2 linked regions of the Oreochromis niloticus genome follow. The protein of the gene in region 1 purifies or fractionates together with the protein of each later gene. This does not show direct contact. Links are inferred from orthologs where the notes say so. Each region holds a gene or a part of one and is shown on either strand. Other genes may lie near its edges. The genes, in order: afg2b and timm13.

Region 1 (3,921 bases):
AGAGTCAGAGAACGCTGTCCCACCTGTAAATGGTTGGACGACAAAAACTATTACTGCTCCCTCTCTTTGCAAGTCCCTGTAATGTTAATGTTTAATTCAAACAATCTTATCGGTTTATAAATTTACATTTACATAAAATCCAAGAGATATATATATATATATAAAGATTGGAAAAATTAAATAATAATGGTAATTACGGAAACAATTCATTATTATATTACATTATATTATATTATATTATTCTTTTTTTAATGTTTACTTGATATTTGAGGAATAACCTCAGTACAAAACATGCAGCCAAACAGAAGCAGCATACATTAATAGAGAGAATATATAATTAAATACATTTCCTTATATTCTGCAGATAATCTTCAGAAAAATAATACAGCAAAAAGAAGACAAATAATGAGGGAATGTTGAAATAAACATTTATTCACACAATAATGGGTCATTTTTTGCACGTGGGTTTTGGGGTTTTTTTAGAGTAGCTTATCCATAGTTTTCTAATGACTGTTTTTATGGCAAATACTTTCATTCCAGTCCTTATACCTGACCCTTTTCAGAGGAGTGTTTTTTGTTACGCTACCTAATGCTGACCTATGAATCATTCAAACATAAAAAGGCACCTTACTCAAGAGATGAACCAGTGTTGTGTCTACACATTACAGACACCTTAGCAAAGAACCAATTTCAAATCATTTCTTTGGGCACTTTAGACCAGCAGCCTGTCACAAAACACGGCATTTGTTCTCATTTGTTAGGTTGAATTTATGAATTAACGCCAAAGATAACAAGGTTGACAGGCATAAAATTGGATCAACAAGTGGAGAACAACAGAAGAAGTGACAGGCCTAAAAAAACAAATGCAGCAGACAAATTATCTCTAAAAATAATCTCCTTTAGAAATCGGGGGGGGGGGGAGAACAGCAAAGACCTGATACAGGACCTGAGAGATTCATGTGGCCCTTCAGTTGCTTGGACCTCAACATTATTGAAGCAGTGTGGGATCACTTTGACAGAGAACAGAACAAAAGGCAGCCAACATCCAAAGAGCTTTGAATGTCTTTCTACAAGCCTGGAGAAATATTCCCGAAGACTACTTAAAGAAATTACAAGAAAACCTGACTAAGAGAGTTCAGACTGTGTTGAAGAATAAATACTCCTAAAGATTCCAAATATTGACTTTTATGTTCACTGAAATTGTAAAAACTCTCTTTATGTCTTATATACTGTATTTCCATATATGTTTGCACATGCTCCTATTTCCCTAGCAAAATATAAAGAAATTAGGGGTGACCCAAGACTTTTACGTAGTAAAGTGTCGACGCGGAAGATTAGCGTCACCTCACGCAGGAAGCTGTTTTGGTTGACCGTGTTGTTTTAATGCCACATGGATTTTGTAAACAGTAAAGTCTGAGTTGATATGTTCTGTGTAGTATATAGTTGGTATTAGCACCCATTTTATTTCTGATTGTTTAGGTGCTGTCGGCTGGTTTCAGCCGTTTCCGGTACATAAACCTCTTTGCCTTAGACCCAGCTTAGTCAGAGTTTTGTCCTACATGCTAACGGTTAGCATGTAGCCTCGGTGAAGTTTTATGCTGCCTCTGAGTTTCTGCTTAGTCTCTCTCCCTCACTAACGTTACGTGCGTCTCTGTCTCTATTTCCCCGTCAGGTGGCTGCAGGCGGAGCATGGAGCCTCTGAGGCTGCTTTCCGTGGATCCATCAGACCGGGGCTCTCAGAGATGCAGGCTTGGTCCGGGCATGATGTCGGCGCTGGGTGTGCACCTGGGCTCCCCTCTGCTGGTGTCTGTCCCCGGAGGAAGCTGCCTGTGCACTGCCTGGCCCCGGGCTGACCTGGCAGAGGGCTTCCTGCAGATGGACCTGAAATGTTTCTCCCCCAGTCTTCTCTCTCAGCTCCCCTCGCACCTGAGCCTGGACCCCGCTCAGGTGTCACCTGTGATCTGCTCCAAACTGAAAGGCGTCAGGATAACCGTGATAGTCCAGAGTGTCAATTTCAGGAAACGCACACCGCATCGCCTTGTTCATGAGCTTGTAAAAGACATGCTGAAAGGTGTTTGTGTCCATGATGGGTTTGTAATAAACCTGGAGGATTTCGACACAGAGATCAAATATGTTGTTATTGAAAGCATCAGTCCAGAGTCGGATAGTGCTGGATTCATCACCTCGAAGACTGCTGTTGAGATTGCTGGCATCCAGACACTCCGACATTACAGGAGTCAGCTGCAGGACCGGCACACAGTGCAGCTGGGGGGGCTGGAGGAGGTGAATTTCTTTAAATAATACCTAACAGAGTGTTTTTCCACTGTGCAACACCTAATGTGTGTGGTTTTTTTGTTTGTTTGTTTTTACAACATTTTAGGTGTCTGCATCACTTAGAGAGATGCTGAAGCTGCCACTTCTCTATCCAAGCACACTGAGCTCTCTCGGTGTATCCTGTCCCAGAGGGGTGCTTCTGGTGGGGCCTCCAGGTGTAGGCAAAACCTTGCTGGTCCGCCAAGTGGTGGGTGAGGTGGGAGCCTGCTTGGTGGTGGTCAGAGGGCCAGAGGTAAAAAAGATGATACTAAACACACCTCATCATAATATTGATGCCGTCTAATATTCCTCGTAATACGCGGAGCATTTTGCATGTAAATGCATTACCAGTAATTCTGAACAATAATTTCAGGTGGTGGGGGCTCGGCCTGGTGAGAGCGAGGAGGCGCTGCGGGCCGTGTTTGAGCGTGCTCGATCCGCAGCAGATGAAGGTCCCTGTGTGCTGTTCTTAGACGAGCTGGACTCTCTGTGTCCGAGGAGAACCAGCTCGTCGGCTCCGGAGAACCGGCTGGTTGCTCAGCTTCTCACACTCATGGACGGGATGAATCAGTCTGACCGCTTTCTCATCGTCGGAGCCACCAACCGGCCGGACAGCTTAGACCCAGCACTGCGCCGGCCAGGGAGATTTGACAGAGAGGTGTGTGTCCGCTCACTGTCACAGATCCAGTGTTTTTAATCTTTCTTGAGAAAGATGATATAAATTTCATCTTCTCTGTGAAGTGTAGATAATTGGGGTGCTTATGCAGGGGTTTCTCTCAGACGTTTGTAATGCTTCAGTTGACTGATTTGTCTAGCTTCAGATTTCACTAGAGATATCTTTGTTTCTAGAGATGCAGAGACAGAGATACAGTAATGTGCAAAAGTCTTGGGCCACATATCATTTCTTTTCTAGAAAAATTGGAAACAAATTAAATGTTTTATTAAAACATGTCCTAACATACATGAAAATGCACCATATAAGTTAAAAACAGAGTTTATACACTTTTAAGGAGCTTAAAACTCAATATTTGTTATGGCGACCTTTGTTCTTAAACACAGCCTGAACTCTCTTAGGCAAGGAAATAAAATAACGTTGGCTCACATGACTTCCCATACTTCAGTGAATAGGCTCGGGATCTGCAGCATGTCTCCTAAATGACGAGGCAAAACCCATGTGACACAGATACACTGTATGACCCTCCGGTGAAGCGTTTTGTTTTTGAAACATGTCTGGAGGAACAAAAGAGGATTTTATAAAAACAGAAGATGACAGACGACAACCGAACGCCTCGGTACACCTAATTCTTTAACACTGCTGGTAGTCACGACTACGTATAGATGTAAACATAGAGTTGGGTTTTTTTCTGATTATAAGGCAAGATGTACCTTTTTTACTTATATAAAATATCTGTCCAGGTCGGTGAGTTGGTGCAGATACGTGTATGTGAGTCGTTAGTCTCTGAGTGTTCGTCTTTCCCACAGGTTATAATCGGAGCTCCAACCTTGCAGCAGAGAAAGGCCATCTTGTCTGTCCTGTGTGAGAGGATGCCTGTGTGTCCCAGTGTGAACCTGACAGAGCTTGCACAAACAACTACAGGCTACGTGGGA
Region 2 (3,795 bases), on another chromosome or scaffold:
CTCCTCCCACCTGAACTGTGGCTTAAACATTCAGCTAGCACGGATCATTTGGAGTATTTATTACATTTATTTATTGTCATGGATGGTAAACACACTGCACATGGCCTTGTGTGGAGAACATTCATTTATGGGTCAATATAATGGTATTGTGATCTTTTACTGTAAGGTGGATTTGTGGGGAAAGTCTACTCTGTACAAAGTCAGTGACGTGGGACTCGGTGTCGTTCTGTTGGTGGATATTCGCTCTTTTGATCAGAAACGAGAGAACACCTGATTGATGAGATTTATTATTTTTTCTTGGGGAAAAAAAATATCACTGATTGCAAAAGATGTTCACAGAGCTTTTCTGGCTCCTCACACAAACTCAGGAGGTTCCCAGATATCTAACAAACCGCATGCACACGAGGCTGAGAAAGGTGCAGTACCCCGTCTAGGGCGAGGGAGACCCCGCTGAAACAAACCCACTACTGTGGAGGGCAGCAGATAGAGTGACAACCAGAAAACATGTCAGACAAAACAGTGTTGTTCTCCAGCTGTACTTTGATATAGGTCTGTTTGGAGGCTTGTAAATGTCAAATTCATGCTGGTGAAAACACCAAATTGCTCCTCGATTCTTCCTGATGATTTTTAAGCACTTTTTTTCTTTCCTTTAAGGGCTCCAGGAAATATTTAGTCTCGAAGCTCAATCACCCGGCAAAGAATGTGAAACAGTGTTTAAAGGAGAGTCTGCAGTGACTGGGAGAAGTTTACTGTTACTGGTATTACAGGCAGAAGCATTCGATGGGCAGGCAGATGAGTCACAGTAAGTAAGGCGGGCCTATTGAGCCAAACTGCATCTGGAGTCCTTTTAGCAGCACAGCAGGCTCAGCCTCCTGTCGCAGCGTCAGCAAACACTTTCAGACACATTCACACTTAAGCAGGTAATTTAGTGTTTCCAATCAACATGGCAAGAACACGCAGAAAATGAATTATTATATTTCTAACGTAAAACACAATCGATTTAACATTGGTAGTGAACTGTTCCTCAGAGCAGAAAAACTGTCCACAGAGACACTGGTATGGCTGCAGTCCACAGGCTCTGCTCTGCCTGTCACAGGTATTGTGAAAGATGTTGCGCCGCTGTCGTGGCAAAACTCGTGCACAGCGTGGGCCCTCCTGCAGAGCACTGCATCGGCCCTCGCTGTGTGCGGCAGCCTGAAGAAGGGAAAGATGAAGAGAGAGGAGTTCACATGCGAGCTCTTTCTCGCTGCAGTCTGGAGTTGTATGTTCGGGACACGGTGTTCCAGGCGTCCATATACCGGTCCATACACATGGCGATACACTTCTGTTAGGGACAAGGCAAAAAAAAAAAAACACGGGTTAAAAGTCCAGAGAAATAATCCACTCGTGGTCTATAAAGAATTTAACCAATTTAAAACTGTGATTAATACCAAAAAAATGTTTCTGATGCACTCCTCCTTGTTTTCAAATATAAATATATATATAACAAGTTTATCCTAGGAGCAGTTCTGCAGGGAGAGACAGACCAACGCAGATCGACTCTAACCTGGAAACGAGACACTGATGAAGACTCGGGAGTCGATACATGTTGGTCCATCTTATCCTACGATAAACCTGTTATATTATTCTACAAGATGATGGAGTACCTCAGCAACACCTTATGTTTCTGGTATTGCGCTTGCATTTGACCCACTCAAAAACACCTGTCAGGTAAGCCTTTAGAGCCCTGCAGCACTTTCGTTATGCCCTCCTGTTTTCTTAAAAACGTGATCACTTCTTTGCTCGGAGCAGCAGTGCATCACTGAAGCAACTCAGTCCGCCAGTGCATACCTGCTCAGAGTTGTCCAGTGTGCTTCCAGGCTTGCCTATGCACTTCTTGAAGCATTTATCGGTCATTCTCTGAAATATGAAAAACAATCTTTTATTAGCATTTACAACTCTGACAGCAGCAGCGCAGAATATTTGCATGACTTTAAAAAAAAAAAAAAGACCCTCCAAAGTTGGTCTGGCTCAAAAGTATCTTTTTATGTCAGCAGCATTTCGGCTCGTGTGTTTATATGAGCCGTGTATTAACATGCTGACAGGATCCATAAACCTTACAGAAGTTATTGCGGGCTAAAAAATAAAATAGTCTTACACACAGGACGAAGAACAAAGCCATTGTACAGCTTTGACCCGTAAAGGTAAAAGCACTCAGCACTTACTCAATGTGTGCTTGCTAGCTTAGCAGCTGTGTTCATTGATTTACCTGCAGCAGCTCCTGAGCGTTAGCCACCGCGATCTGGACCTTGACCTGCTCCATGATGGTACCGGTGTCCATTTTTCCGCCGGACCCTCCTGCTGAGAAGTCTGAACCAAAGCCGTCCATTTCCGCCACAGTCGTGTTCTTCAAACTCACCTTTGCGGAGCTTCTTCCAATACACGTGCAAACAGCCGCTGCTAGCCTTAGCCGGCGTTAGTTTCCGATGCCCTTGACAGAAGCTGTGCCTGTTGCGTCATTTCCGTGTGAGCCACTCGGCGTCATGGGAAATGTAGTTTTTTTTTCCCAACAAAGGTTGTACTGCTACAAGTAGCATTTCTCCTACAGATCAGGTATAGTACTACTATTTACATTTTAACATTTAAAAACGGCATTTTTGTGGGACCATGTTGGCGATACAGGGAAGTACTGTGCAGGTTTGCATTTAGCATGTAAAAGCCAAATAAATGGTATTTAAAAGCAACTATTTAGCTCTCTTGCTAAGTAAATAAAATAAGGATGAAGCGGAGCTGAAGTTTATGCAATACTTTTTACATAGTCCTGTTATTTCAGCTGCTCTCCTGTCTGTTAATCATCATCATCATTATCTATACAATGTTTACTGAGCCAACGTTAGCATTTTTCTAGCCAATTAAGAGACACGTGTAGTGTCACTTTACGCCATATTTTCCCTTGCGTGAAAGTGAAGAAATTATCCAGAGGAAAAAAACGATATAAACCGCCGCTAAATTTTCTGTTGAATAATTTGATTCAAAATTTGCAAAGCGTGTAACGTTTAGGTGACTTCTCCCCTATTGGTTTCAGAGTTAGCGCATTAGAGTGTTGGACATAAAAACCCGACTTTAAAAAGTGCACATCCTGCAGAGCCGGTCAAAGTGCGGGACATTGTCTCAATATGCGGGACAGCGGCGCAAGGGGTAAAACATGCGGTGCAGTCCAACATGAAGGCATCTGGTCACCCCTACGGTTAACAGGTTAACACCTGATCCACCTTAACAAAAGTGCTTTTGTTTGCCACATGGTGGAGCTGTTCTCCGCTAAATACTCCCTCGAGTTGGACTAAGTTCAGTTAGGCTCTTTCACAGTGTGTTATCAACAGTTATCGATACATTTGTGACCGTTCATGAAGCAGATATTCTTTGTGCAGATCAACACTATGTGAGCTCAACTTTCCTGTCACTCCACATAATAAGACAATGACTTTAATCTGTAACGAGGCTAATTTCCTCTACTGAAATTAATTTTTTATTCATTTATTTTCCACCCATCAGTCATAATTTTGATTTCTTTTATTATTAACCAAAAACATAATAATAAAGTATTTAATGCACCCCTTAGATTTAGATTTTGAGCTGCTCCTTTTAAAGGATGACAGTGTGTAACTATTAAATAGTTACACACTGTCATCCTTTAAAAGGAGCAGCCAGTCTTTAAATTGTAGTCTGAGCACAAGTTTTCCTGATCCTCTGTGTGTTACTTTGATCAGGATACACTTCATCTTTTTAATAACTAAACTGCATTTCTCTTCCATCTAT

The links.
Region 2: the proteins of afg2b (region 1) and timm13 purify together in Homo sapiens (co-immunoprecipitation; 3 studies listed by BioGRID and IntAct, with this or other methods). This does not show direct contact. The link is inferred for Oreochromis niloticus from reciprocal best matches to the Homo sapiens genes AFG2B and TIMM13.

Annotation. Positions count from the first base shown.
Region 1 is NC_031965.2:12,578,105-12,582,025, reverse strand, and holds the start of afg2b (ATPase family gene 2 protein homolog B), read left to right. Parts: upstream 1-1,340; 5' UTR 1,341-1,390; coding exon 1,391-1,406; exon of another isoform or gene 1,407-1,585; intron 1,586-1,672; coding exon 1,673-2,283; intron 2,284-2,380; coding exon 2,381-2,566; intron 2,567-2,686; coding exon 2,687-2,971; intron 2,972-3,795; coding exon 3,796-3,921. UniProt on the Homo sapiens protein: ATP-dependent chaperone part of the 55LCC heterohexameric ATPase complex which is chromatin-associated and promotes replisome proteostasis to maintain replication fork progression and genome stability.
Region 2 is NC_031986.2:44,780,674-44,784,468, reverse strand, and holds timm13 (mitochondrial import inner membrane translocase subunit Tim13), read right to left. Parts: upstream 2,474-3,795; 5' UTR 2,369-2,473; coding exon 2,249-2,368; intron 1,900-2,248; coding exon 1,831-1,899; intron 1,325-1,830; coding exon 1,226-1,324; 3' UTR 551-1,225; downstream 1-550. UniProt on the Homo sapiens protein: Mitochondrial intermembrane chaperone that participates in the import and insertion of some multi-pass transmembrane proteins into the mitochondrial inner membrane.